Linked DNA regions of Tribolium castaneum. The protein of the gene in region 1 purifies or fractionates together with the protein of each later gene. This does not show direct contact. Links are inferred from orthologs where the notes say so. Each region holds a gene or a part of one and is shown on either strand. Other genes may lie near its edges. The genes, in order: Mad1 and mad2.

Region 1 (16,036 bases):
AGTTGACCATTTGCTCAAGACTTGCGCTAAACTCGTTTTCAAGCAAATTTAAATCACCTTCACTATTCAACTGGAAGCACAACTGATCCTCGGCCCGTTCCGCGTAAATATTCGTTAGTTTATACAACGACGTCGGAGTCCGATCGATTTTATAACCAAGTAACATGTAGATAACATTGCGAAATTCCTGAAACGACGTTTTGAAATATTCTTTGAGTCGCTGCGTTTGGACTTCGTGCGTTTTGACTTGTTCTTTCAACGCTTGGACCTCTTGCGGACACATCGACTCGCTTAACTTACTCGCATCGATGCCTTCGGACATGTTTTTCAACTTCCGTTTCAATTTCTCAATCTGCAAGAAATATCACAAGCTAAATTATCGTTTCTTAAATAGGACTGTATTAATTATTAACCTCCTGCTCCAATTTCTCCACCAACTTCTCCCTTTCTGCCAAACACTCGGCTAGCGGGTTGTTCGCCAAGTGGTAAACCTGGCCCCCTTGGAGCGTATCATTGCCTACAAGGTAGTTTTCCAATTGAATTTCAAGTTGGTCTCGACGTTGCTTCAACATCTCATTTTCCATCCGCAACTGGTCCACTTCTTCCTGCAATTTCGTCAATTGTTCGGCTCTACTGTTCGGATTATCTGCAAAAAATCAAATCTTTATTTTCAGTTTAAATCAATAAAACGTGGACGTACCGGAATACAACGCAGGATTAGTGTTTTGCAAATCCGACTCCAACTTTGCATTCAACTCCTTGTAACTTTCGATGATTTTCTCCAACGCTACGATTCTCTCCCGCTGAGTTTGCAGCTGATTCGAGTTTGCAATTGTTGACGGATTTATCGACATTGTTAAATCCTTCTCGTAGGAATCGAGCTGAAGCCGATAACTGTCCCTCTCCCGACTGACCAACGACAGTTTTTTCTGCATACGGTGCAAAAGCGCCTGTTTTTGTTCACCGGTTTTCTTCAGCTCCGAAATAAGTTTGTGGCTTTTTTCAATCTCAGCTTTTGCAACTTTGGCGTCCTAGAATTAGAAAACAACTAATAATTTATTAATTTAAAATATAAACATTTACGTATAATGCAGCGGTTAATTGCGATTCCAATTCAACTTTGGTCGAAGTTAACGAAATCTCCTGTTGTTGCAATTTTTCAACAGCTGAACGTAAAAGATGAGGCAAAGACGAGTCCGAACCCACTGTTTCGCAAATTCCACGAGCTACAGCTCGCCACTCATCTAAATAAATTCCAGTTTGAACTTTTTCAGCTTCTAAATTCGCCAATTTCTTCTCCTGTTCTTTATATTTAACCAAACGTGACTTCAAATCGTGAACTTCCTCTTCCAGTAATAGTTTGTTCTTAACTTCGTCTTTCAACCGGACGTTTTCTTCCCTCAGTTTTTCAACTTCCCTGACCATATCACTGTAGTTAGCCAATTTTTTCGCTTGACTCTAAAACAATTCATTTGAGAAACGGGGAAAATATTTCAATAAATACTACTTTGGCTTGATCTTGGAATTCCAAAAAATTTTCTTTGGCATATTCCAACTCTTTTATGCGCAAATTGGCAATTTGGAGCGCTTGTTCCTTCTTCTCGATTTCCCTGTCTATGGCGTTCTTTTCTGCCAACTGTTTCTCTAGTTGTACGAAAAACAAAAACAATTATTGCGAAATAATTACGTCCCTGTTAATTACCTAATTCAAGCACTAATTTTTTCTGAGCGTCGGCGTCTTCTTCAGCGGCGTCCAGCATCATTTGCATCTCGGCCAACTTCCGATTCAACGCCACAATTTCAATGTTTTCTTCACCGTCAAAAAGCCGCGACTCTTCCTTCATCTCGGACAGACTTTTCTCAAGTTCTTCAATCACTTCGTCCTTTTGCACCTTCAGCATGTTGTAGTTGCTGGTCACCTAGACATCAAAAATGAACATTTTTGTCACAAAAACAACACAGGGAACCTCAGCAAGTTGTTTCTTCAACTCGGCTTCCCTTTGCCTGATTGAGACCAACTGCGCTTCCAACTCTTCGATACTCTTCCGGTCATGTTCGTGTTGCTTCTTCAACAACTTTGTCTCATTCTCGTACATTAACTCGACCTCCTTGCGCACACTGTGCATGTGTTGGATCCGGTTCTCCAAATTCAAAATCGTGTTCCGACTCTCCAAGATATCGGTCCGCAAACGTCGGATCTCGCGAGGAGACCCCGCGTAGGACACATTTAGCAAACTTTCGCGCTTTGGTCGCTTGACTTTGAGGAACTCCTCGGAACTGCATTGGCTGTCGTTCGAGACCGAACTCAGAGAAAGTTTGTAGGGGCTGCCCAGGGTGAAATCGGGCTCGTCCTCGACCGTCGACTTCAAATTCCTCACCAACTTTATGATAGTGTCGTCTACTTTGTCGCCCATTTTGACAAGGGGCGACGAAACCAACCTCACTTTTACTTGTCTCACAAAACCACACTTCAGTGGTATCACATTCTACGCGAAAGCTACGAGCAGGCCCCTGAAAGTGTATACAAATTATGTCAAATTATGTGTTCACTGGGAGGGGTGGGGCAAACGGCTAAAATAGTTCGTGTGCTCCAGCTTAGAGGTGGCGTCAGTTGCAAAGAAATCTGTAAATTTAAAGGAATCTGTCACACATTTTGCTAAAAGTAAAGAAGGTTCACCTAAAAATACGTAATCGACGTGCGCACACTTCTCTTTTTAATTCTTTAATTTATCAACAGCCGATTGTTTTGATTTTTGGATGTTTTTGTGATCAAACATCTTAAGGTAAACGTTATTGAAAGGTGTCTATACAACAATTAATTGCGATTTCTAGATATTAATATAATCATATTACACCAAGAAGGATCAAACAAACTTCTCTAATAAGGGAATTTCTTGATGTTTAGGAGATGAAGACCGTCCTTGGAGATGATAACGGTTCTTGGGATGTAATTGAAAATCCCATGAAGACGAGTTAAACATGATGTGCAGTAATTAATAGGTATATCATAATAATAAATAAATTTATTGTAGTTGCGAAGCTAGTATTTTGTGAAAGCAGGGAGTTTAGGACTTGCTATGGTTCAAAGTTTTCAAATTCGCCATGTCCCTCTATGTCTTAATCTTTTATGTTGTTTTACACAATGTTATAACGCCTATGCCTGTTAAAAAAACAAGGTTTGTCCTTTTTGTGAGTGCTTAATTTAGAAACTAAGCGAAAAAACGTATTCTACAAGTATTATACAAGTTAATCAATATTAAAGCCTACTATTATTATAAATTTAAATGATTACATGGTAGTTTTAATCAGTTAACTTCCAGTTATAGTTATGTATATCAGATATGCGACTTTTTATTTAAAATAATTTTAGCACACTTGTAATTCTCTTGTGTTTGAGTAATTTACTAATAACTATGATGCAATCGAGATTACTTTTAAAAAATTTCAAAACTTATCAAGAACTTTGACATCAAACTGTTAAAGTACGTGTTAGGGCCGCTTTTACAAACGTCCGTATATCTTATAACCGCGAATAAATTTTGAAAAATAGTTGTTTAAATTTAGCCTTGAGGGACTTAAAAATTGGACTATTGTCAAAGGTTACAAGCAAAATTTTTATATTTTTTTGCTTTTCTGAACAGTCTGTAGACAAGTAATCAAACCAACAAAACTGATGTATTTATACAGACTGATCCCGAAATACTGTGTCTGTTAGCAATCTGAATTTAAATTTTAAAGGATACCAATAGTGTACACTTTCAGGTAGCAATTCAATAATTTAATCTGATGCCAACATACTCAGTTTCTCTGGATCATTGAGTATATTAAGACAATGTATTTACATATATTATTACATCTGAGTATGTTTATGAAGAACAATTCGAATAAACATCCTGCAGTTATGTTGAACTTTTTTATTATACTTTTTATATTTTGCATTTAGTTTAAATTAAATCACTACATTAAAATTTTCAATTTAAAAATTATTTTATTTTACACCTAAAGATTTTTTGTTTTTGTTTTTCTAGTATTTCAGCTTTTAGTTTCATAGTATTTCACATTATTTATTTTCTTAATTTTTCAGTATCTTTTCACTATCTTATCTTATTAATGTTCTTACTTTGCAGTTTCATAGTTTTTTAATTATTATTCTTGCAGTGACTTAGATCTACAAAATTTTAATCTTACAGTTTTCCAGTTTTTAAGATTTTTTACCTTTTTAATTTTTTTGTTTATTGTTTTTTATTTAAAATATGTTTCCCTTTTCCAGTTTTGTGTTTTTTGTGTTTTTCTGTTTTTCAGTATTTTAGTTTTTCACAATTTTAGTCTAAACATTTGTAGTTTCTCAGCGTTAAAGTTCTTTTTTCATAGTTTTAACTTTTAATTTCTGAAAACGTGCTAACTCTATTTCAGAATTAAATTATCTTCTAATTTTATAAAAATTCATCTACTTTCATTATTATGTATCCTTGTACCCTGATGATGATTTCATTAAAATCGAAACGTCGCTAAAAATATGAAGTTTAATTGCATCCCTGCTCTAAACACTTCAGAATTTAATTATTATAATTGTAATTATTATTTTTTTAAACTAACAGTTAGACTTTAATTAGTTAAGTAAAGTCGTACTTTTTTTGGATTCTTAGTTTTTGTGTAATATGTAAATTTAATAGTGTTTTTGTCAAAAAAATGAAACAAAGTCAAAAACTATGCAGAATCAACAATTTTTTTGCATTTAAGGCAAAATCTCGTTCTGTGAGAAAGACCGGCCCCTAAACCGGTCCACTGGTGTCTCATTTGTCTCAAAAATGAGTAACTGACCAATAAAAATATAAAAATCACCTCCTACTTGTTTTATCTGGTGCACATAAAATTGCAAGACAATTAAAGCGTTTGTCATTGGATATCGCCGGTAAAGTAAACTTCCAATCATAAGGCATTCAAAACTAAGCAAAAGTTTTCTAATAAAAAATGTAACATAAATTACCAGATTTTCTGTTTTTGTACATTTTTTTTAACACCTTTGAATTAGGTTACTTTCCTCTGGTTATTAATTAGATCCAGGTTTTTCGGATTTTCGTAGTAGTGATTTAATAAGAGAGATCGAGCGCGCTCTCGAGCTCACAATTTGTCTAATGAAACTTTTACTTTTCCCGATTTAAACGCAATCCATCAAGAGTGGATATTATTAAAGCGAAACTTGTCAGGAAAAAGTTCCGGATCAATACTCAAGTCTACATTAGATTGTCGATGTTACAAGCAATTCGAACATGAAGTTAGTTGAACAATGACAAGCTTCAAAGACTCCCACCGCTCTGATTTGCGCTCCGTTCAACTTACGAAGTTGGATCTTTTCGGATGATGAAGGGTGTGAAATTTTCGCGGAATAGATAATTGTGGAAGAATCCTTTGACGTCACATGTGTTTGTGCGTGTCTCGTTGTCTTGTCAGATTGGTTTGTTTATGGAAGACACGGTGATTTATTTTTTAGCTCGGCGGAAGTTTAAACACAAGTAGCGTCGTCTGTTCGATCGGGCGTTGTTAATTTGCCGCTGCAGTTTTGAGTAAATGGAGTGCGCTCATATTGCCAATCCAGGTTTTAGTAGAATTGTTTTGCGAGGATGTTTGAATGTTTGAAGTTGTACTAGATGCGAGTGTGCATGCAACATAAGCAACAGTTTCACACGAATAGACTCGAATAGAACTGTCTGGATGCATCCACTAACAAATGAAAGTCCACTCGGCTGGAAAAATTAATTTTTGGCAACGAAAGCAAGCGTTTTTTGGTTTTGGCTGTTTCTTGTAGAATGAGCGATTCCGTTTTGAGCAATCTTTCATCGTAGCGTCTCATCTATAAATTATTCCAAACTTACCTTAACCCTAAACGCTACTTAAAATTTAATAAAGTCACGAAACTTGATTTATAAACGCATTCAAGTGGGTAACATGAGCAAGAGTTAAGATGCAAATTTCGTAAGTAACCCTACTATTTAATAACGAATTCAAAGTGACGAAAAGCCATTAATAAAAACATAAATAATTTGCAGTGCAAATGCAAAAACAAATTCATTAATTTCATATCAAGTTACTGAAATATGATTAATTATTTTAATTCTGACTGCATCATATATTTAGCAGCTAATAAATGTTGCCACAAACCACAAAAACTTTAATTAGCTAATCACGTATTTTGTCATTTATTGAACCGAGTGATGGTTCTGACCCGGCGCATCCACCAAAATTAAATTTGTTTTGTCGGAAAATGCATTTGGTTGGGTGTGTGGGCTGCATCCTAAAACAGCTCAATAATTGGAGGATATTGTCACAAATACAAGATTATAGCGAGCCAATTTACTTTTTAAACACATTACAGCCACCGCTAATTATTAAATAAAGATATTCTTAAATAATAATCATCTATTTACCAATTTATACAAATTCAAAAAATATTTTTGAAACACAATGTGTCATTTTAAATTCTTTAGTTTCTACATATATAATGTGCTTATGGCTCTTAAAAATATGAAAGAATTTAACAACACCAACAAAATAATATTACGAGTAACATATACAATTCATTTGATTTAAGAAACAAAAAACAATTCTTAATGTTTCGTAATTTTTGGCTCGTTATTGTATTAAACCTTTAGAACTGTCGGTAAAAGCAAAGTTAACTTATTTAAGGTTTGTGGTAATAAATAAACTGCTAATCTATGAAGTGCTCAAGTTAGTTTTTGAGTTATGAATTATTTAATGAAAAACTAAATATGCTTTGTAACGTCACCACATAATTTTAGGCAAATTCGATTGTAAAAACAGTAAGTATAAAACGGGAAATGAAATCAAATGACCTTTGGAACAAATAATTTAAATAAAAAATCCTGGCGCCTCCACCATTTTTCTAATTAAAATAAGTTTTAAATAATTGTGTAGTATCATGTGTTGTGAAAAAAATTTTGTGAACTATATGATATTAACTGAAAAATACAATGAAACAAATTGTTTTACTCTAGGAGTTACAGTTTTCAAGTTATAATTTCATTTAGTAAATAACTGCAAATAAATTTTAATATGTAACCCGGCGCATCCACCATTTTTTAAATAAAAAGTTCTTGAGTAATCTTGTTTTGTAAAAAAACTAATGTAATATAAATAATATTAAAAACACAAACAGTCCACTTAATTCAAAAAACATAAACCAAAAAAAAATGTTTCGTTAACAAATCTTTTGGCTCGCTACTTTATGAAAACTTTAAAACCTTCGGTAAATGCGAGTGGTTAAAAGTCAAGTATAATAATACGTAAACTGAACCGTAGGAGAATACTTTGGAACAAACCGTCTTGCTCAAAAACTTTTAGTTTTTGAGATATAATTTTTATACATAGCCCGGCACATCCACCATTTTTTAATTAAATTAATTTTTTTTGAAGTGACTCCACCATCAATCACTGATACAGTTAATTGTATAATTGACTGAACAAAAATTAAACAGATTTTTTGAAACACGGCACTGCTACTGCAAAATTTAAATTTATAAGTTTAGACGTGGATGAGGAAAAAGCGGCTTTAATCCGAGCTGCGAGCTGTATATTTTAAAAAATAGCAGCGACATGAGGGCGAAATATTGAAATATTCAATCAGCTATTCCGGAGCATTTCGGCGTTTTTTACCCGAACCCTGGACAATTGCTAATTGCGATAAGAACATTTAGCGCTCTTTTCGCTGATTGTGTCATGTTTTAGCCGGTCCGAGGCAATAAAGTGGCTCCGGGTGATCGGCCGGACACTCCGGACTCGCCTCTGTTAATAAATGCGACCCGTGATATGTTCGGGGCAAGTTTTATATACATATCGGAAATGCCGGTGGCATGAGAAGGGTTGTTAGGCGGTCACCAGCTTATGTTTTTTAAATTTATTGGATCAGCACAATTTTTTGTTGCAAAATCCCGAAATCCATTTTAAAAAGGTTGGGAATGAAATTTTCGACAAACACTGCGCTTTCATTACTAAAACAAATAAAAATTTGAGGAAACCTAATTCTCGCAAGTTTTTATTAAAGTTGCTAATGCATCAAAAGCCTGTGAAAAATTCACGGTAATAATGCAGTTACTAAAAGCTTTGCCCACAAAAATTTGCATTAGCCTTTGATGAATCAATGCGTATCAAAACATGGCAGATTTATTTTAATTCATGCCCGTAAGTTTTTTCGCAACGTTAATTAATTAACAAGCCGAACCTCGCGAAATTGACACTATTCTCGTGTCTCTCTCAATGAACATCGACAACGTCAATAAAACTCATCTATTCAGCACCGTAATATGATTAATGTTGTCATTAACTACACTGTTGTTCCATTATCACAACGGCTTGTGTAGGTACAATCATTTAGCGCAAAAATTCAAAATTTTAACACTTCAATTACCATACACTTGGGACACTTTTCCGACGGTTTGCTGACATTTTTATTTATCTTATCTGAGGAAAGGCTTGCAGACAGAACCACTTGTCTTTTTTACCTTGGCGTGATTTTATATTCACTACGAGCTCAACTGCCTGTTATTGATTCGCCATCCAACATTTATCATTGCTGAAACCGCACTTTCAATACACAACGAAGAAGATAAATATGGTTGAATTTTTGGCATTAATTTCGGGCTCCATAACTTGTTCATTAATAAAGATGTTAACATTTTCTTTTTTCTAAATCATAGCTGTGATTGAAATTCAACTGAAGTCAACAATTTAGTGCTTAAATCGTAGTCTTTTTCTTAAGGTTTCTTCAACGACTTTGGTCAAGAAATGGTTTAAAATTAACTGACTTCAAAAAAATTGGGGACAAAAATTATCAATTCTTTCATCAGAATATAACGATTTTAGAGTTTTTTCAACAATTTTTGTCCAAGAAATGGTTAATGATCAACTGATTTTAACAAAACTTCTGCTTAAATCGTCGAATTTTTCACCGGAATATAACGATTTTAGAGTTTTTTTAACGATTTTTGACCCAAAAATGGTTAAAACGTTTTAACAAAATTTCTGATTAAACCGTTGATTTCTTCCCCGGAATATAACGATTTCCGAGTTTTTTTAACGATTTTTTGACCAAAAAATGGTTAAAAATCAACTGTTTTTAACAAAATTTGTGCCAAAATCGTCATTTTCTTCACCGGAATATAACGATTTTAGAGTTTTTTTAACGATTTTTGACCAAAAACTGGTTAAAAATCAACTGTTTTTAACAAAATTTGTGCCAAAATCGTCGTTTTCTTCACCGGAATATAACGATTTTAGAGTTTTTTTAACGATTTTTGTGGTTAAAAAGTGGTTAAAAATTAACTGATTTCGACACAACTGGTGCAGAATAAAAGCGATTTCAGGTTTTGCCGTTACCAGTAAACGCACATATTTTGATGCCAATTCGATTAAGTAAATAAATAAATACAGAGTTAATTAAAATTTTGAAGTTGAACCATTTACTACATACATTTCCCGTTATCCCTTGCGGCAAAATCCTCAACGAATGATAAAGTTTCCGTTTAAATTTGCTCGTGGCGCAATTTAAAACCTAGCGAACTTCACAAGAGTTCCAAAATAAAAAAGTAGAGATAAAATGACATGAAACTTTGCGAATATAAAATATTTCAGTATTTTAAGGCCGGCAGTCTTTTTATCGAATTATTTAGCTTTATCGGTGATAAAATCGAATGGGTTTCGGTACAAAATTGGCTTGTAGTTTAAAATGTTTACCTCATGCATTTCTGCATTATTAAAAACTGGCGGAAAACTCTAAATCGAAATAAATTCGCGGAACTGTGTTTTTGGCTCGCATTTAAATTGATTTTTTAAACTGTGTAATTAAACCTGTTGACGTTTAATCAGTAACCGAGAAAGAGTAATCTATACCGAATTCCTCCAGTAAATTAATTCCGCAGAACAAACTATCGCCAAGACATTTCTTATTCGGGACAAAACAAACAATTCGCGCTACGAGACTGGCATAGAGTCTCAAGGCACTGTCGAATTAGCGCGAAAATATATGCAAATTTCCCTTGATTGCTTATTGCAAGTGCTTGCAGTTTAATTACGTTTTAAATTGTAGCGTTTCGCATATTCTGACAATGCGAACTGAACCGAAAATGTTAGACGATTTCAATTAAACACTGCTGAAGGAAAATAAAAGTCGTGTCCTAAATGTATGCCTCACATGCGACAATTAATTGGTTCGTTGGTTGCACCAAAAGTGCTTTGTATCTGTCAAATAGGTCGATTTGTATGAAACGTAAGGAGTCGCTGAAATTAATTACGTAACATAATGGGCGCGTGGTTGAAGTATTGGTGATCATTATTTATGCTTCGATAATTCTAATTAATCCATTATTCACGGTTGGCCACGTGTTGGGGCGGATTTTCGAGTAAAAATATCAACATAATCCGAGAAAATTAGAGCAGACCTATGCATCAAACTCAAACGACAAAATAAAACACCATTTCTAATCCTCTGATTTCGAAGAGTTGCCAACACTGCAAATTAATAGTCGGGTCAAAAATTATTAGCTTATTACAGAATAATTTTGTGATAAATGAACCAAGGCCATATTTGGGGAAAAAGAGTCGAGAAATGTTGGAAGTGACTCGATTCTCCGGAAGTTGATTTAGTTTGGAAATTAATGTGATTATGAGAAAGCCACACAAACGAAATTCCCTTTGTTACCGCGGGATAGTTTTACTTCCAACACGAATGATGTCACTGGGAGAATTTTGTTGCGCATTCTGACGCTGATTGTAGAATAATTGCCTTAATTTTGATGCTCAGAATACTTGACTTTTTATTACATTACGAGTATTATACAAGATTTTATCTACAATTGTTTCAAGCGTATCAAGTTCGTTTTCAAAACTGGAAATTTACTCGCAATTATTACAACAAAGATCACAGAAAATACTCATATTTCCGTTAAAAGCACACTCACTGCTCTGGATAATACTATTCATTGCAGGAGTATCGGCTTTCGCTTATGTGCAGAAAAGTTTCAAGAGAAAAATCGAGGCCTGTTCGGCCTCGTCGTTGTTGCGAATATTATTCTGTTTACTTTCAACATAAATAATAACATAAAATGGAAAAAATTTTGAATCGTTAAAAAGGTTGATCTAGACAAAAAAATTACACATCCAGTTCTTTTTCTGGCTTCAGTCATCCCTGCAGCAAAACTTTTTTAATCAAATTGACTCAAAGTTGAAAACTTGAGCAAGTACTCACTAATTTAAATTTGGTTGAATAATTTTACTGTTGTTAGCAGAAATAAAAAAATTCGCAACATTTTGACGTATTTGTAAAATATTAATAACTAATTAATTTCGCGGATTAAATTAACTAACGGATGAAATGTCACGGTGTAGCTCGATGGTTTATTAACTTGTTTATTTGCATTTGAGATTAAAAAACAATACAACAGAAATAAAAAAAAAAGTTTCGCACAACAGATTTATTCCGAGCTTAAAAATTGCGAGTTAAAATCCGGTCCCAATTAATAAAAAGCGTTCCGTTTTGAGTAATTTGCAGTTCGCCAAGATTTATAATCCCGATAAGGCAATTAGGCTAAATGAAGCACTTGGAATTCTGCGAGTACCACAAATTGGTATTATATGAAGTGGGTCCGGTTATGCAGTGATAATAAATATCAGCCGGTGTAAAAGATTTAATCCTCTTTTGTGTGCGCGAGTTAATCGATGGCACTCGTTCGGATAATCAGTTGATTTGTTAATAAGATCATTGGCCTAGTTTTCGTTCAAATCACGTAATTCCATTATGCGAAAAACGTGTCATTCAGAGGCGTTCGTGTGAGAATATAGCTCAGCACGTGTGTGGTTTGTATTTGTAATCCTTCAGGTGTTAAACCGTAATTCAGCGTTTGGTAGCTGAACTCGTGACCACGTTCGGAACTCACTCGCAAGCGAGCGAATGCAAATTCTGGACGCAAATCGAACGAAACAGTGGTTAACTTTCAGAATTTATTTCACTTGATAAAAGAGTCCAACTTTTCAAGAAACTTAAAAACTGGAGGATCCTCGAATCGATAGCGTTGTTGATTGAAATGAACTGACCGAAATGCCCATAAAAAAGTTATATCCTTTATAGACGCTGATGCTTTAGAGCGCATTACGAAAAATCCTAAGCGGAGTTTTTTTGTACACATTTTTCAGAGCCGATAAATGAATCAGGCATTTGCGAAAATGATCATTGATTGATTCCTTGTCCTGGTATAACTTTATCCCCATTTTGTGCGAGTACGCAACATCCTTCTCCATCCAGCACATTTCCTGGCCGGATTAGAATCCAGCGCAGGCAACGATCGGCCCTTTCAAGACCCGGAACTGACCGACAGACACTGACACGCTTCATTGCTTTCAGAAACAGAAGATCTATTAGAAAAGATCACGAAGAGGCCTTTCGCAAAACTGCCAACTCGGCTGCCAAATCATTACAAGCTCCGGGACGCGTTTCGGAAATTTGGGGTTGTTAACTACTGAAAATGTTGCACAAACGCCCAACCCTGCAAAAAATCGGCTAATGCACTAAAAGCACCGGAGCAAACATCCATCTCCTAAAAAAAGTCTATAATAACGCTGTTCCAAATTATTTCTAATCCTAATAAACGGCGGCCGAAATTATTTTTATTAAAAACTCCAGCATGCAGTCTGTCCCAGCGATGTGAAAACTAATGTTAGAAAATTAATCATTTACTAGCAACTCTTTGACTCACCTAAAACTATTTTTCAGTGAACAGAGTGTTTCCGAAATAAGCTTTTGTTAATTCTAAAACCATTTTTTGATCAAAAATCGTTACAGAAACTCTAAAGTCGTTATATTTTGGTGATTTAAGCAAAAATTTAGTTTAAAAGTATTTATTTCAAACAGACGCTTTGGAAAGTTTGATATCGTTTTATTGTGGCTGAAAACAACAACTTAAGTTTTGGTTTTGTAAAAAACAAGCATTTCTTAACCATTTTTTGATCAGAAATTGTTGTAAAAACTCTGAAATCGTAATATTCTTAGTTGAAAACAATGATTTCGGACGATAATTAAATGATTCTCATCTAATTAACTTTAAAATTGTTTTTTATGTAAAAAAATTTGTACCGCTCTGCTCAGTTGAATCATCTGTCAATAGATGTTAAATCTGTCAGTTGAGAAATTCAATTAATTTCTTTAAAAAATCTTGTTAAAATGCAACTAAATTATTACACCGTGAAAAAAAAACGCTTTTGTTATCAAAGCTTATTTCCGAATTGGAGACTTAATAAATGAAGAATGATAATTGATAATATTCGATGTCTAGTGTCTATCGTTAGTTATATGAAGTGGCATTTTCTAATTTTACAAAAAAATTCACAAACAACTAGATAAGAATTATTTAAAAACACATTGTATAATGTTTTAAGGTAATCGATAGTAAAACGTTATCTTGTATGCTTAATCCTAGGTTAAATAAATAACTGATAGAGAACTATCAATGAAACAACGATTGTTACGCAACGTTTCGTCTATTATACGACAGTCAACATCAGGCTAACAATACATTTGTATAAAAAATAGATAAACTTTTTTGCCATGACATTATGAATAATAATAATAATAATAATAATAATAATAATAGGTCTTTATTAAAGAAAAAGAAAACAAATAAATAAATATTCAACATTATGAGGCGAATTCTAGTCGAAGTCTAGCCGAAGATTGAAATAAAGATTGAAGATTAAAATTTAGAAAAAACAATTGATGCTACCATTATTTTTCAAATTTTATTTCATAATAATATGTCAATTTTTTTTTATTTTTTATACGAATGTATTGTTAGCCTGATGATGACTGTCGTATAATAGACAAAACGTTGATTTCCAAATCATTTCTAATCATAATAAACAGTAATAAAATATATATATATATATATATATAGTCAGTCCCAGCGATGTGAAAATTAATGTTAGAAAATTAATCATTTACTAGCAACTCTTTGACTCACCTAAAATTACTTTCAAGTATAGAGTGTTTTCGAAATGAGCTTTTGTTAATTTTAAACCATTTCTTGGTCAAAAATCGTTACAGAAACTCTATTTTGGTGATTTAAGCAAGAATTTAGTTTAAAAGTATTTGATTTCGAACGAACGCTTTAAAAATTCTGAAATAGTTTTATTGTAGCTGAAAACAACAACTTAAGTTTTGGTTTTGTAAAAACCAGGCATTTCTTAACCATTTTTTGATCAAAAATTGTTGTAAAAACTTTGAAATTGTAATAATCTGGTGTCAAAAACGCCGACTTAAGCACTAGTTTAGTTGAAAACAATGATTTCGGACGATTTCTTGCTTAAGAACGACAAAAATTGCTACAGAAAAGCTAAAGACTTATTTTAATTTCAGACGATTACTTGAAAACAAACGACACAAATCGCTTTAGAACCACATTCACGTTCAGCGATCTTATAAACCAAGAAGTTAAAAAATGCAAATAGTGGCGTATAAACCTGCCAGTTCTATGGCCGGCAAAGAAATAACAGTGTTCATAAACACCCTGACTGAGAATTTTCGCGTTTTCACACCGCGTGATTTTTTATTCGAACCGCAACACAATTCTTGTGGCGTTCAAAATTTCATACCGCAGCTCTTAATTCACTCCACACTAATTAAGTGTGCAAACCCCGCAAAAAAACTCCATCAGTTTGTGGGATTTATTTGTGCCCTCCTCTTGAATTTCTCCTTATTATGCACATCGAATTTGAATAAATTATTTCCACGTTTACCATCTCGGAATTAATTACGTTTCCCGCAAAAAGGACGCGCCCGGGGATAAACTTGGCAAAACAAATGTAATAATTAAGCCACTGCTCCACGGACCGCAAACGAGACAATGACCCATCTTTTTAATGGCCTTCCATATGTTACACGACCCGACCGTTCAACCACAAGCTCTTACATTTCATCAAGGGTGCAAAATAAATAAACGAACACCCGGTATCTGGTTTCTTAGTGGCACCACAATTCCAAACTGCATCACAAGATCTAATCTAACTCAGATGAACAGCAACTTAGATGTTTGAATACTGTGGCGGAGTTTATCGCGAAAACTGGGCTTTGCAAACCTACAAATAGCTTTTGTCTGACACGACGGTGAGCAACAATTTGAAACTTGGAAAACAATGCGTTTTGTTTAATTCTGTTTTCCAAAGAACGGCTTTAATATTTGACAAAATTAAAATAGCCAGCCTCAAAGTTTGAAATTAAAGTGAAAATTGTTTCCCGATACAGTAAAACCTCTCAACAACGAACACCAATGGATATTCTCTAGTTGTCCGTTGTGGAGAGGTGTCCGCTGATGGGAGGTTTTGCTGTAATAATCTGGCTTCATTTTCGATCCGTAAAGTTGGAATTGGAGTGGAAATTGTTTCCCGATACAGTAAAACCTCTTCTCAATGGAGAATCTCTAGTTGTCCGTTGTGGAGAGGTGTCCGCTGATAGGAGCTTTCGCTGTAATAATCTGGCTTTATTTTCGATCAGTAAGCAATAGTTAATTCCCTAGCAGACATTTGCACTTGATGTATTTTGTGTAAATGTTTATCTCGCTGGCGGGCAAAGTAGAGTATAGAATGTTACTTCTGGGCCAGGATATTTGACGTCTTAAAAAACAAGACAAAATCTTACAAATTAACTGTTTGCCCAAAAGCAAACAACCGAATAGGGCCTAAAACCTCTCAAAAATCATTAATTTTTATCCACCCCAAAAGTTCCCAAATATGTGTAGGCCACCAAAAATTGGGCACACGAAAAACAGGGTAGAATCCTACAAATTTAGTGTTTTCCCAAAAGTAACCATCCGAAAAAGATCTAAAAAACTTACAAAATGCCTTAATTTTAGACACCCCAAAAATAGCTCTTCATTTCTGGACCAAGCCAATTGGCGCATGCAAAAATCAAGTAAAATTACCTCAAAACTGCTCTAAAACCATTGTCAAATCTCTAGATTTCACACACCTCAAAATAGCT
Region 2 (15,261 bases), on another chromosome or scaffold:
TTTCAAACAAAAGAATAACCAAGTCTTTAACAGCCTTGTCATTCTTATCAGCCTCAGCCTTCTGCCTCAAATTCTCGATGATTGAATGGTCGGGGTTGATTTCGAGGTGTTTCTTGGCCGCCATGTAGCCCATAGTGGAGGTGTCTCTCAAAGCTTGGGCTTTCATGATACGTTCCATGTTGGCGGTCCAGCCATACTGCGACGTAACAATACAGCAGGGAGATTCGACTAGACGGTTCGATACCACGACCTTCTCAACCTTATTATCGAGGATACTCTTCATAACCTTGCAAAGTCCTTCAAATTTGGCTTTGTCTTCTTCGCGCTTCTTCTTCTCTTCTTCGTCTTCAGGCAATTCGAGACCTTCCTTTGTGACCGAAACGAGAGTTTTGCCGTCGAATTCTTTCATTTGTTGTACGACGTATTCATCAATGGGCTCAGTCATGTAAACGACCTCGAAACCGCGCTTCTTGACCCTCTCAACGAACGACGAATTCGCCACTTGCTCCTTGCTTTCGCCAGTAATGTAATAAATGTGTTTCTGGTTAGGCTTGATGCGGCTCACGTAGTCCTTCAAAGAGCAAGCCTCATCGCCACTTGCAGAAGTGTGATAACGGAGCAATTCGGACAATTTGGCCCGGTTTTGCGAGTCTTCATGAATACCCAATTTAATATTCTTCGAGAACTGTTCGTAGAATTTCTTGTAGCCGTCCTTATCCTCGGCCAACTCCTCGAACAACTCTAGGCATTTCTTGACCAAATTCTTACGAATGACCTTCAAGATCTTATTTTGTTGCAACATCTCACGGGAAATGTTCAAAGGCAAGTCTTCCGAATCGACGACACCCTTGATAAAGTTCAAATATTCGGGGATGAGTTCTTCGCAGTTGTCCATAATGAAAACCCTCCTCACGTATAATTTAATATTATTCTTGCGCTTCTTATTTTCGAAAAGATCGAATGGAACGCGACGTGGGACAAAGAGGAGGGCACGGAACTCCAATTGACCCTCAACACTAAAGTGTTTGACGGCCAAATGGTCCTCCCAATCATTAGTCAACGATTTGTAAAACTCTCCGTATTCTTCCTGACTGATATCGTCAGCGTTTCTTGTCCAAATCGGCTTGGTTTTGTTCAATTCTTCATCTTCTGTGTATTTCTCCTTAATAGTCTTCTTCTTTTTCTTATCTTCCTTCTTCGTGTCTTCATCTTCGTCCTCGCCTACATCCTCAATCTTTGGCTTATCTTTATCCTTGTCTTCGCCTTCTTCCTCCTTCTTCTCTTCTTCGGCCTCATCGTCGCTCAACTCCTTCTCGCGTTCCTTCTCCACGACCAATTTGATGGGATAGCCAATGAACTGCGAGTGTTTCTTTACAATTTCTTTAATTTTGTGTTCTTCCAAAAATTCGGTTTGGTCCTCTTTCATGTGAAGGACAATCTTGGTGCCACGGCCCAAAGGCTCGCCACGGTCTTGTGTTACAGTGAAGCTACCACCAGCTGACGACTCCCAAACGTATTGCTCATCATCGTTATTCTTCGAAACGACTGTGACCTTGTCTGCTACCAAGTAAGCCGAGTAGAAACCAACACCGAATTGACCGATCATGCTGATGTCAGCCCCAGCTTGGAGGGCCTCCATGAAGGCTTTGGTGCCGGACTTGGCGATGGTGCCCAAGTTATTGACCAAATCGGCTTTAGTCATCCCGATCCCGGTGTCAATAATGGTCAAGGTCCCGTCATTCTTGTTAGGGATGATCTTGATGTAGAGTTCTTTGCCTGAATCGAGTCTGGAAGGGTTGGTCAAGGACTCGTAACGGATTTTATCCAACGCATCTGACGAATTGGAAATCAACTCCCGAAGGAAAATTTCCTTGTTCGAGTAGAAGGTGTTGATGATCAGACTCATCAACTGGGCGATTTCCGCCTGGAAGGCGAAGGTTTCCACATCTCCATTTTGGTTTTCTTCCGGCATCTGCAATTAAATTCGACCTTGAAATTTCACCGAACTCATGAATCACTAAAAAATGACTAATCGGACACCGAACAACGTGGAAAAGTCCGGAAAATTTGATTAAATTTCGTAGCAATGTCAAAGACCGCTCTGAATAACCTTGGCAGAAAACCACACAAAAAACGGGAAAACTCTAAAACGGTCTTCAAATTCGAAAAAATAGTCAAAGGATTAATAAACTCGTCTCAAATAACCGCAGCCTAGCGAAAAACGTACGATTTCCCAGACTTGGGGGTCAAACACCGGCGTGACATAACCTTGACTGAAAACGGCCGGAAAATCGGAAAATTTGCACCTACCTTGCTTAAATTAATGCACACACGAACAAATCACTTGAAAATTGCTTTGGGAAAATTATCACTTGGAAAATTTGTCGCTTCTTAGCTCTTCACTTAGCGCTTGCTTTTTCAACTCTGAGCGATTCGTGTTTGTTCGGTTGCTTTTATAGCCTTCTGCGTTCTAGATTATTCGAGAAGAATCTAGACGCTTTCCGACGCTTCGAAACCTTCCATAGACAAGGACAGAACATGAGTTGCTTCCGCTAAATCGGGCGCGAAATTCGAAATCTGCAATACCGTTATTGATTTTTCTAGAAAAATCCGTTTTATTTGTGTTATAGTTTATAATTTATTACGTCAGGATTATAGGGTAAATAAACTACGATCTTCTCAACAGGACCTTTTAATTTTACTTTACTCTACAAAAGCCAGTTACAGACTAACTTATTTTCTAAAAATCCAGACATTCGGCATTCATCTTTAACACATGTTTCCCATCTTTCACACTCGCCCTAAAAGCCCTCACACACACTAACCATTCGGACCTCCCAAGCATCCCTTACAATTCTACGAATTCATATCAACTCGGCCTTTCCTGACAATGTTCTCGTCCTCGAGAACACATCCCAACCATCTAATCACTCATTCCCCTAATGACACTTACCATAACTTAAAATAACGAAACTAAACACTCTACTTATGTCCCCAAATTTTTCTAATAATAAAATTCCGATAAAAATTTAACATTACCCTTAACACTTGTACAACCTACTTTATCTTAATTATTACTCCTCTAAATTACTAACTAATTTTAATCTGTCTACAGAAATAATTCCTTTATAGAAGCGACTACTTTGTTGTTCGCCTTCTATATCTTGCACTAAATATCTATCATTCCCTATAAATTTAACAATCTCATAGGGTCCTCGATACTTAGGGCTCAATTTACGACTTTGGCCGGTCGACGGTACCTCAGCCCGTACCAACACCAAATCCCCTTGCTTGAAAACCCTAGCCTGACGCCGCGATTTATTAAAATTCGCGCACATACGATCCGCATTTCTTTTCAGCCGATCCGCAACTAAATTTTGCTCTTCTTCCGTATTTAAGCGTGTATTTAAATCGCGTATTTCGGCTGCTAACGGATTATTAGTGAACCCGTCTCGCGTGTATGTCCGGACCAAACTAAAAGGCGTTCTTTTAGTGACCGAATGGGTTGCATTATTAATAGCCCATTGTACTTCGCTTAATTTTTCGTCCCAATCACTACCTTCTATGTCATCCGTACTTGTACTTAAGCATGTTATTATCACGTCGTTTACTTTCTCCACTTGTCCATTCGATCTAGGACTTGCTGTTGCAATTTTTACGTGTTGGATTTCACAATCACCGCAAAATTTTTCGAACAACTTCGAAATGAACGCTGTACCTCTGTCGCTAATTATTTTATTGGGCTTTCCATAATTAGAAACGAATTCTTTCAAAAAACTAAGAGTTCCCTCGGCTCCTACATCCGGCAGCGCTTTTAATACTGTGTACTTACTAAAGCCGTCTATAATAGCGCATACGTATTTGTTTCCTGTTTTACTTGACGGAAAAGGGCCCAAATGGTCGATATGCACCACCTGAAACGGAGTACTGCCTTTGTCTAACGGGTGCAGCATTCCCGGTTGCCTCCCGCGCGGTGTCTTACTATACAAACAGTTAATGCATCGATTGATATATTTTCCTACCTCTTCCCGCATTTTTGGAAAATAGTAGCTCTCTTTTATTTTGTCCAACGTTTTATCTATTCCCAAATGCATAAGTTCTCTATGAGCGTTACTAATTATATCAAATCTTAAATCGACAGGTACATACAATCGCCACTTTCCATCTTTTACCCGATAAACACGACCATTGCATAACGTAAATTTAGAGTGCGTTGCCTGATCGCCCTCTTCTAATTTCTGTAAAACGCTTTTAGTTTCATTGCAGGTACGCTGTAATGCCGCTACCCAATCCGTATTTATCTTTATCCCCATGACATCTGGAAGTCCACCCACTGGCACGGCCCGACCAGCCTCTACCGCATTTCGGCTAAGGGCGTCTGCTACTTTATTGTTTTCGCCCCGGTGGTACTCAACGGTATAATCAAACTCTGACAACCTAATAAACCAACGCCCTATTCTTGGATGCATATCTTTTTTATTTGCCAACAATTTTAAACTGTTACAATCAGTACGAATTACAAAATGAATCCCTAGCAAATAAACGCGAAATTTCTCTAGTGCCGCTACAATTGCTAAGCATTCTAGTTCATAGCTGTGGTATTTCGCTTCCTCGGGTGTCGTTTTTCGGCTGTAAAATGACACCGGTCGCAATGTTCCGTCATTCTGTTTCTGCAGAAGCACGGCACCTAACCCCGTTGAACTCGCGTCTGTATGAAGTTCTGTATAGGCGCCCGTGTCGAAAACGCAAAGGATTGGTTTGTTCATTAATGCTTTCTTTAACGACTCGAACGCGTTTTGCTGTATTACCCCCCATTTAAAACTACCTCCTTTTTTTAATAAGTCACTGAGAGGACGGGCAATAATTGCAAAATTCCGGACAAAACGCCTGAAATAACTAGCCAACCCCAAAAACGATCTGACCTTGTGTACGTCTGTAGGTACCGGAAACTCAGCCACTGCCCTAAGTTTATCCCTTCCCGGTTCAATACCCTCTTTTGAAATTGTAAAACCCAAATAATCAATTTTTGTCATAAAGAAAAAACATTTTCGCAAGTTTAACGTCAAGTTCGCGTATCTAAATCTATTAAATAACAATTTTAACTTAGCTAATCCTTCCTCTACAGTTTTGGACGGAATAATAATATCGTCCAAATACGCCATCGCAGTGTCATATCGCAAATTCCCAAGAACTATGTTTATTAATCTTTGAAACTGCGAGGGCGCATTCGCTAACCCAAAACTCATTCTCTTAAAACAGTAGACCCCATCAGGGGTAATGAAAGCCGTCTTACCTCGCGCGTCCCTCGACATTGGTACCTGGTGGTATCCCATGGACAAATCCACTGAGGTAAAGTAGATTTGGCCCCGAAGTCGATCCAGCTGATCGTCGATTAACGGCAAGGGGTAGTGCTGTTTCACTGTTTTCTTATTGAGCGCTCGATAATCGACACACATCCTCACTTCCCCGGACTTTTTCTTTACGAGAATTACCGGACTTGCAAATGGAGAATCAGTTTCTTCAATTATATCGGCCTCTTTCAATTCGCGCACTATATTTCGCACTTGTTCTTTTTCGGAAAACGACATACGATACGGTCGATAGACAACTGGTTTATCGTCTGTTAATTCAATGTCCATTTCTACTAGATTCGTACATCCAATTTGCTTAACATTTCGGGCCACTAAATCTCGATAATCATTTATAAGTTCCAACACTTTTTCCGCGTCTTTCCCGGCCAAATCAGTGTTGATTTCACACGCGTCAATAGGTTCCGTGTTAACATCTCGCCGATGTGTATATTCTCGACACACGTCCCCTCGCGCAACACTTTGATTTTCAACAATTTTTATGTCCTTTCCACTTATATTTAAAATGGGTAACACCGTGTCACCGTTCCTGTCTGTGCTTATTACACATCGTGGTACCCACTCTCCCGACTCGCGTAGTCCACCTTCGACACAAAGGGTACTTTCTGGTGTCTGTGTCCTGACTGTGATGTGCCCCAGGAAGTTATTTCGAATTACAGACGCCTCACTCGCCCACAAAACCGTTCTTGGAGCATTATTCGCACCGTTCTCTTCACATTTTCTTATTATAAGTTCGTGAGGTGTTTTTACAATTTCGATGTGCGGCTGTTCGGTGTATGGATGCCCGATTATCACTGGAATCTCCTGGGTTTCCCTCGGCACCACCAGGAGTTCGATCTGGGCGTTGATGCCGTCGATTTCTACATCCACCTGTGCGGCTCCTAAAACACTTGTAACTGCACCGCCGTAGCCCGTAACGTCCTTCTTCTTGTCCCAGTCACACATAAGTTTTAATTTGGGTACATAATCATCCCGGATGACACAAACTTCCGCTCCCATGTCCACGTAACCCCTAACTTCCACCCCGTTAATTTTCACGTCCTTAAAATACTTTAGATTGTCCGACTGAGCATTTATTGTCTTTACTTGCGCCGCCACTTCGTTTGCAGTAGCACCCCGTTGCGAATTTTCGTTTCGCCCTACTACTTGTCTTTCTCGCGAATCGCGACCCGGTACTTGGCACTCGCGCGCGAAGTGTCCCATTTTCCCGCACTTAAAACACGGAAAACATTTGGTGTTATTTTCCACTCTCGGAGTGTTACAGTTTTTAGAAATGTGGCCCTCTGCTCCACAGCGAAAACACTTTCTCTTCTCTGGCAAAATACGCCTCTCTGGAACCGAAATTAAATCCAACCGTTCATTGTTCCTCAAATCACGAAGAAGCTGCCACTCATCGTCGTGTCGAACAGTCAGCAGAGATCTCGCAACTTCCCTGGACTTCAACCCCGTGAGCAGCATTTCTTTCGTTTCCGCGAACGACAATTTTAAATCGCGACACATCGCCATTTTTGCGTAAAAATAATCTTCCGCGCTTTCACTGGTTCTTTGTTTTCTCTCCGACATCTCTCTAAACCTTTCGGCGAGCGTTCTTCGATCCGTATAATTTTCGCGGAATCGCATCTCAAACGCTGCCCACGTTGTTAAGGTATCCTGGTGATATCGATACCACAACAACGCGCTATCTACGAGGTGTTGACGCGCCACCTCCAACAAAATTGCATCACCCCAAAATTGACGTCCCGCCATGGTTTTGATGTCCTGTAACCACTGTAATGCGTCTGATGCACCTCCTTTTCCATTGAATACGCGTAAACTTTGCGTTAAATCGGGCATTACGCAATACCCCATGTTTCTCGACGCCCCAGGCGCCTCCACCCGGCCCAACGGAAGACTGTTCTGCAGGCCACTTGTCTCCGACACCACCCCGTTTCCAGACGACCCCAGCGTCCCCGACGCCTCCTTATCTCTGGACAACTCCTGTATGTCTGGCGACCCTGCTACCTCCTGGTCAACCGCCGCCGCCGCCGCCGCCGCCACTGTCCCTGTCTGAGCCTGTAACGCTTCGCTCACCGCTGCCTTCACTAATTGTAAAATTGTCTCTAAGTTCAAAAATTCCTGTCCTGATTGAGGGATGATTTCCTTCGGGCTTTCTTTATTCTTATCGTCCGTCATTTTCCTTTATTTCTTTGACCACTAACAAACTAACACTAATAAAACCAAACTAAGTCTCCACGAATAATTTTTTTTTTCACGATCCCACTTCTGATAAATTGTTATAGTTTATAATTTATTACGTCAGGATTATAGGGTAAATAAACTACGATCTTCTCAACAGGACCTTTTAATTTTACTTTACTCTACAAAAGCCAGTTACAGACTAACTTATTTTCTAAAAATCCAGACATTCGGCATTCATCTTTAACACATGTTTCCCATCTTTCACACTCGCCCTAAAAGCCCTCACACACACTAACCATTCGGACCTCCCAAGCATCCCTTACAATTCTACGAATTCATATCATTTGATTTGATAAAAATTGGGTGCGAATGGTTATAATTCGTGACGAAAAAAGATGAAAACGGTGAATTCAACAGATATTATCCAATTTTTTAAACTTTTTGTTTAATGGCAAATTTTGGGGCTAAATCTGATTGAATTTAGATGGAAATTAATTTATAAAATGTCTTACTGCCCTTGTTTCCCTCATAAATCGGTTAAGCAACGTTTTATGAAAAAAACACGTGGGTTTAACAAAAATTAGTTTTTCCAACAAATTCGTGGATGATTTCCATCTATTTTCGATTGAGAATGCATAATAATGATTATTTTCGCCCTAACAGTATAAAAAACAAAGATATTCTTTTAGAAAAATAGTCAAAAGGGTGCAAAAGATGATTCATTCTTATATTTTTTTGTCGTCTCATTCTCAATTTTAGTCATTTATTGGGGTTCCTATCTAGCAACGTTCTTTTGGCGATAAATTAGTAAATCATTGCGTAATTTTCCATAACAGTTATCCTGGAAAATTCTGGAACACAGCGAATTTCTCTTCCCGGTAGAAATTCTGGAAAGGTTCTCGAAATTGTTTACATCCGCTGAGATTGGCAAACCTGCCACTTGACGTTTGACAGTTTTGAAAGTTTGAATTCACTTTTTACCGTTACTTTTTTTGCCGCTAAATTATCTGTGTGTGTTAAGACAGCCCCGCAATGGCCGCAGTGGCTCCAAAAAACAAATCAGCGATCACTCTGAAAGGCTCCGCCGAAATCGTTTGCGATTACTTGAGTAATTTTGCCCCCAATTGTATAAAATGAGGTTATGGCTGTCTTGCAGATTTCGGAATCAACTCGATTTTGTTCCAACGGGGGCTGTACCCACCCGAGAACTTTCAAAGTGTGGAAAACTACGGTCTGACGATTCTCATGTCTACCGACAACAAGATCAAGGAGTTTCTCTCGACGACTTTATCGCAATTAAAAGGTTTGGGTTACCGGCGAGTTTTTTTTGACTAGTTTTGTATTATTTTTAGAGTGGTTACTACAAAGGTGCGTTACGAGGGTTGCAATGATCATAACGAACGTGAAAACGCGGGAGGTTATGGAACGTTGGGATTTTTATGTTGAGTATGAGGGGAATGCGGATGAACCTGGGGGGGCCGTGTCGGAAAAACCGTTAAAAACTATTAAAAACGAGATTAGGGACGTGTTGAAACAAATCGCGTCGTCGGTCGCCTATTTGCCTTTATTGGACTGTTTATGTAGCTTTGATATTCAAATTTATACCAAAAGTGATGTTGATTTGCCGGGAGAGTGGACTGAGGCCCAAGCAGCCCATGTAAAAAATGCACAGTCGGTTAAAATGCGGTCCTTTTCAACCAATTTACATAAGATGGATACTGTCGTTACCTATAAGAATGAGGACTAGGTTTAAGTGTAAAGTGGAAGCGATTTTTGCGTTCAGTGTGTTTAATAAATTTACATTTTTTTACACAGAAGATTTTTATTCCAACACCAATGATCGAAAAAAAGGATTATGATTTTACATTTGTGTTTTTTTATTGACTTGAAGGTAACAACCTTCATTGAAGTATTCTAGGACTTGGGGCAAACTCACTCAAAGATAACGTTTTCTGCGTTTATTTAAATATATTTATAATTAATAAAGTTTATAAAAGAAGTAACATTTCTTTTATTTTTCAAGCATATAAAACTTAACTACAGTCACGACAAATGGTTCGAGATTTCGACCTAAACTTCTAAGTTTTCACTCAACTAATAGCGCCATTTATCGTTATCACAATATGCGAGTATCTTTAACAACACTGAGATTTACATAACATTGTTGCTAACATGATAAAAAAATTATTACACATCGACTACTACATTGTGCGTTTTTCTCCAAATCAAATAAATTAAACGAGTATCTACATCCTCTGTAATGCAATTTTCTTTGGTATAGGGTTATCCAGCCTTGTCGCTCTTTTCCGCTCCCTCACAATACTGGAACAAATCAAACAATTATTACTGAGTGATTAGCAACTGGAGTTTCGAAACCACACACCCTCTAAACTACACAGTGTTAGTGCGAAAACGTGCAAAGTCAACACTACCTTACCGAATCGGTCGCTTTTTTGCCTGAAACATAAAAGGGAACGTGTACAAGAGTCGGTTTTTCCCCGGTAGTTGAGAGGTTTGTGTTAAGGTTTACGTCTACGTATTGCTATTTGAGAGGGACATGCGAGTTAGAGACATCTGAAACTCACAACAAATCTAACAGTCGATTAAATTTCGAGAGTTATTAGTAAACAGTTATTAAAGAATTGGTTAATACAGAGAGCAGGCAAAATTGATTACATACCTAATTTTATAATTTTTTATCCAATAGAGAGTCCTTTTGTCCCCCAATGTACCAGATAGGGTCAAACCAATAGTAAAAAAACTACGTCCTTCCTTTCATCGTTTATTAATAAGTTTACAACAATTTTTTTATTTTTTTAGAATTTGTAATAAAGATTCTTAAGATTTTGTTGTGAGTATAGATGTAATAAATAAATATATCTACATGACTTTATACAAAAATTAAGTAAAATGTCGGTCCCTGATATTTATAGGTACATTGCTTTTTACCTGAAATCCAAATCGAGTTTCGGTCAAATTTATTAGACGAATTCGATATCAGGTATAAAGTGGGTAAATGAATGTCGATAATAATCTACGGCTTGCTCGTCACTTCTAGTCATGAAACTCTGTTCACGCTGTGAAACTCCACGTAGATCATTGTGGACATTTATTTATCTAGTGGTTGCTCGATGACTGTCCAAAAAAACAGAAGAAACGTACGCTTTTCAACAGTCTTATACATTAGGATAGTTTACAAATATACAGTGGAGTTTTTTTCATCCCTCATAGGTGTATGTACAAACGGTAACAAGTTAATTTACACAGCGTCGATGTTAAAAAATCCACTAAAAATCGCTTAATTCCCGGACGCAAGTCTAGCACGAACTCTCATCTCGTAAAAATGGAATAATTTCTCTAGCAATCATCGTATTTCGTAAAGAGGCCTATCTTACAAGTGAATATAGGTGTCTGTCGATACCTACTGGATTGATCGGACATTTTCCCCTCACATCTATGACCCGTGTACCCGGGAGGACACCTGAAACCAGAAAAGTCCGTGTAATTCGAGCCGGCGGCGGCGCTTGGCGCCATCTGTCGGCGGTGTTGTCCGTCCGCCGCCTTAATACTTACACACAATCATAGGAATTCGGTACTTTGCCGCCTGTGATTCTCGTGGCAAAGCAAGTGCCCCCATTATGACAAAAGTTCTCTCGCATGTCTTCCTTGCAGGGTTCTCCTGCAACCAGAAAATTCGCGCGATTACATAAAAGCGTTAGATGACCCAGCGTTAGGAAAGCAGCGTTTTGGCAACGTACACACGACCGATTTTGTTTATGGGAGTGTGTACGACCTGTCAAAGTGCCAATAGGATTGTGTAATACGGGTGGCGCTTGACGAGATTATTATTCACGGATTTTTCGCGATGCGATGCACTTTTGGCAGCCGAGCGCGCATTAAAGGACCAAACACTTTGCTCGCGCCTTTTTGCGCTTGTGCCAATCACTAATCGTATTATTATAAGTCGAGCGACAAATTAAATCTAATAAATAACTAATTAAGCGCAAGTACGTGCTTTTTTACGTGCCTTCGTTTTTTTTGACATTATTTTACAAAAATAAACAATTTGTTGACAATATTTTTTATCAAAATAAGGCTGTAAAAAAGACTTTCAGTTCTAAAAGCTGTGAAAATTCGACTTCTAGATAAATAACGAGTGGGTCAAAAGTTTTCCAGAAACAAAACAATTTTTTGACGTTTTTTTTCCAAAATAAGGCTGTAAAAGGCTTTGAGTTCTAAGGGCTGTAAAAATTCGGCCTTTAGATAATTAACGAGTGGGTCAAAAATTTTCCAAAAAGTTGAAAAAAAATTACTTACTTCTGGAATGGAGCCGTCTATAATTATTGAGAGTTAATTTTAACTATTATTGCAAAAATACCCAGCTTGGACGAACTATAAAAAATGGTAGGTACGATTTGGTTTGTATTTCTGGTTCATTAGTAAAGTAACTAAGTAGCTTTGAAACGCCTTTATAAAACATTAGAATACTTTTACCTACCCTAACTCTAGGCACAATTTTTTCTGTAACATCGTATTGCAGGAAATGTGACTCTATATTCTTTATTTCATATGGTGCTTGTTTTTATTAGATACTTCTAAGTTCTTAATATTTCTTGATGTTATGTGACAATAATAATGTGTTGACCAACTTTTACAACGAAGATAAAAGGTAAAAACTAGACAGATTTTAAAAATGTTCATTAGCAGAATCACAATGTTATCTACGTTAATGAATAAATAACATTAATTTTGCGCAAAAAACTTTTAACGAAGAGTAGCTGTGAAGAACAGTAGAATATCTATGTCCTTCAGGTCCGTACATTAGGTGCAAACCTTTTAAAATTGCGTGAAAGAAGATACTTAGAGTTGATGTAATCAGTTATACGACAAAGTTTTTTTGATTTATTCCGTTGAAAATGACCGATAAATAAAACAATGGTCTCGAAAACTTTTGGAAGTTAAAGAGACCAACTTCAGAAATCTCAAAATTAAGATGTTAATGATAATGAAAATATAAAATGTAAAATACATATTGACATAAAATTAAAGATCATTTTAAGGATGATGAAAAACTTTCTAGTATTTTAGCGAAACATCTTATTATTCTGTATTAGATTCAATTTATAAATGCATATTTATTTTCTGAATAAAATGCCTTTATTCCGAGTAAAATCTCAAAATCGGGACATTTGGGTTTGTTTATGAAAAAGCAGGACATAAACGTACAACAGGACAAGACATCGAAAAACCTGTCCTGGGTAAAAAACCTATGAAAACATGAGAAAAGTGCCAGTAGTATTTTTAGTAATCTTGCGTACTACGATTTGTGCTAAATTACATAATTATTATTTCAAATGTATCTAAACTCTCAATTCGAATCTTTGTAGTAGAAATTTTAAAGTTACTTGGGTTTTGCTGAAATATTTGTCTCGCATTTGCTAAAAAATGGACAATTTTAGGTTCGATTAGAAAAGTTTGGCCTGTTTTTCCGGCTCATCTTATTAATTATTTTTTTGTCTTAGAGTAGGACTTGATTTTTTCTGGTAGTTAATGTTTTAACTATACATACAGCACCTAATTATTAAATTATAACTGTGAGAAACTAAAAAACTAAGAAATGACTGCAAATTTTATTCTTATTTATTGTATAATATTGTACTTTTTGGTGCATCCGAAGTTCGCTGCTTTTTAATTTTAGGTTGAAAACACAACTGCAGTCTACACTTTATCTAATACCGCCAATTAAAAAAAGTATGGATACAGCTTTGAAAACAGTTTATCAGCGCGAAATTTGATCAAATTGTTTTGTAACATCCTTTGTAGGATAAAAAGGCAATTTTAATTTGTTATATTGTGTTTGTGTAGAAAAAGGTAAATTTAGTTCGTTCTGCTGTGTCGATTTAACTAAATAGATGAGACTGTTTCTGATAAGTTGTTGATTTTTTCGTGAGTACAGCTAAAGCAAGTGTATCCCGCGAACTCACTATCAGGCGCTGGTGTCGCTAAATCTATATCGCTTGTATAGGTACCAGGTGTCTGTAAAGGCCCGGAGGTCGTGTGTGTGTTGGGCCTGAAGATCCTGTGCGTCTTGGGCCTGGAGGTCGAGTGCATTTTGTGCTTGGAGTTGTGTGTCTTGGACTTCGACGGCGACGAGTTGCGGCGGACGACATAGGAAACCTCCTCTCCAGTCGCTGCAATCGCCACACAGGTGTACTGTCCCGTATCCGAGCGTTTGTCGACCACCAGAATACTTTTTCGCCTGGAAAACGCAAGAATCACCTTTGGAAGGAGCAAAGCGGAAGCAAAAGCGCATGCAAGCGATATAATTTCATCATGAGGTGGCTCGGCTCACTCATCCACTCACCTATCGTTCCCCTCACTGCGACGACACAGCGGGAAAAAATGCCAATTAAAATCGGGTTTTTCATGGGGTTTTACAAAGCGAGAAGCTCCCGAAACGGGAAGTAACTTTACCTACTTTTTCTGAATGATGCGGACGCGGTCCCTGTTGTGGAGGATCGTGTTGTTGTGCTTCCACTGGACTGTGGGCAAGGGGAATCCCTCGACTCTACACGTGTATTTTCGGTGCCTGGCGTGGCAGGCGCTCTCGTTGATCCTGACAGGCTTCGGAGCTGCAAAAGTTCAAAGGAAATGTTACAACAAAATTCTTGATTATTCCCATCAATTTAGGGATCACCTGGACCCAACCAAAAAAATGTTCTTGTTATTTTTTTTAATTTAGTTTATAAGCTGTTAAAAGTTAACTTTGTGAATGAGAGCTTCTGATTGGTTCAATTTGGTCACGTCATCAGTTAATCAGGCATTTACTTGCGGATTAAATTAATGACGTTCTTCTAAACCGATCCATAAATCAATATTTTTGTTATCAAATCGTTATTATTCATTATTAAAGACCGGATTTTAAAAAACTTCCCTAACCCGTAATTTTTGAGGACTTTTCTTGAAACTCGAAATAAACCTGCTTCGTTAGAAATATTTGACACAATTTTTATTTCTCTTAAATTCCTATACCGACCAACTTCCCGTATCCTAAACGTGTTTTAAACATCCTAAAGTTTCTTATTTTAAATAATACATTTATTCAGTTTTTTATTAATATTTACATCAGATTTTTTAATTTCACATTTAGAGATTTTTTGTTCCTCGGGCATCCAGTCTTTCAATCGTATAGTTTTTTAATGTTTCCATCACAGTTATTAAGTTTCTCAGTAAGTATATCAGTTTTATAGTTTATTATTTTCCTGGTATTTTATTTTTACTTCTTAAATTTTTCACAGTTTTATTTTCTGTTTTACAGTTTCATAAATGTTCTAACTTTGTGGTGATAAATTTTTTTTTTGAATTTTTCGCTCATTTATTTTTCTGTTAGTTCTACACAATTTCAAGCTTTCTGTTTTTTAGTTTTTTTTTAGTATTTCAGCTTTTCAGTCACTTAGTGAATTGGTTTTTTATTTAGAATATAAGTGTTTCAATTTATTAGTTTTTCTCTTTTCTAGTTCTATAGTTTTTTCAGTTTTTCACTTAGTTCTTCACAATTTCAATCTCACGATCTTTTAGTTTCTTTCAACTTTTTAGTATTTTTTTATAAAAAATTTAACCACAATGAGAAGTCAGCAATTTTTGCTGAAAATTATAATTTCCACATAACAGTTTGATAAATCTAACATAAACTAATCCAAACCAAATTTGTTTC

The links.
Region 2: the proteins of Mad1 (region 1) and mad2 purify together in Drosophila melanogaster (affinity purification with mass spectrometry; 4 studies listed by BioGRID, with this or other methods). This does not show direct contact. The link is inferred for Tribolium castaneum from reciprocal best matches to the Drosophila melanogaster genes Mad1 and mad2.

The regions. Positions count from the first base shown.
Region 1 is NC_087396.1:23,432,501-23,448,536, forward strand, and holds part of Mad1 (mitotic spindle assembly checkpoint protein MAD1), read right to left. Parts: intron 2,512-16,036; 5' UTR 2,415-2,511; coding exon 1,968-2,414; intron 1,920-1,967; coding exon 1,703-1,919; intron 1,645-1,702; coding exon 1,508-1,644; intron 1,459-1,507; coding exon 1,084-1,458; intron 1,032-1,083; coding exon 701-1,031; intron 647-700; coding exon 414-646; intron 353-413; coding exon 1-352.
Region 2 is NC_087398.1:3,476,095-3,491,355, forward strand, and holds mad2 (mitotic spindle assembly checkpoint protein MAD2A), read left to right. Parts: upstream 1-8,473; 5' UTR 8,474-8,579; coding exon 8,580-8,655; intron 8,656-8,703; coding exon 8,704-8,850; intron 8,851-8,899; coding exon 8,900-9,294; 3' UTR 9,295-9,364; downstream 9,365-15,261. Other genes in the region: Hsp83 (heat shock protein 90), read right to left, coding at 1-1,972; uncharacterized protein LOC103313241, read right to left, coding at 10,905-11,028, 11,121-11,226, 13,532-13,806, 13,912-13,926, 14,026-14,179.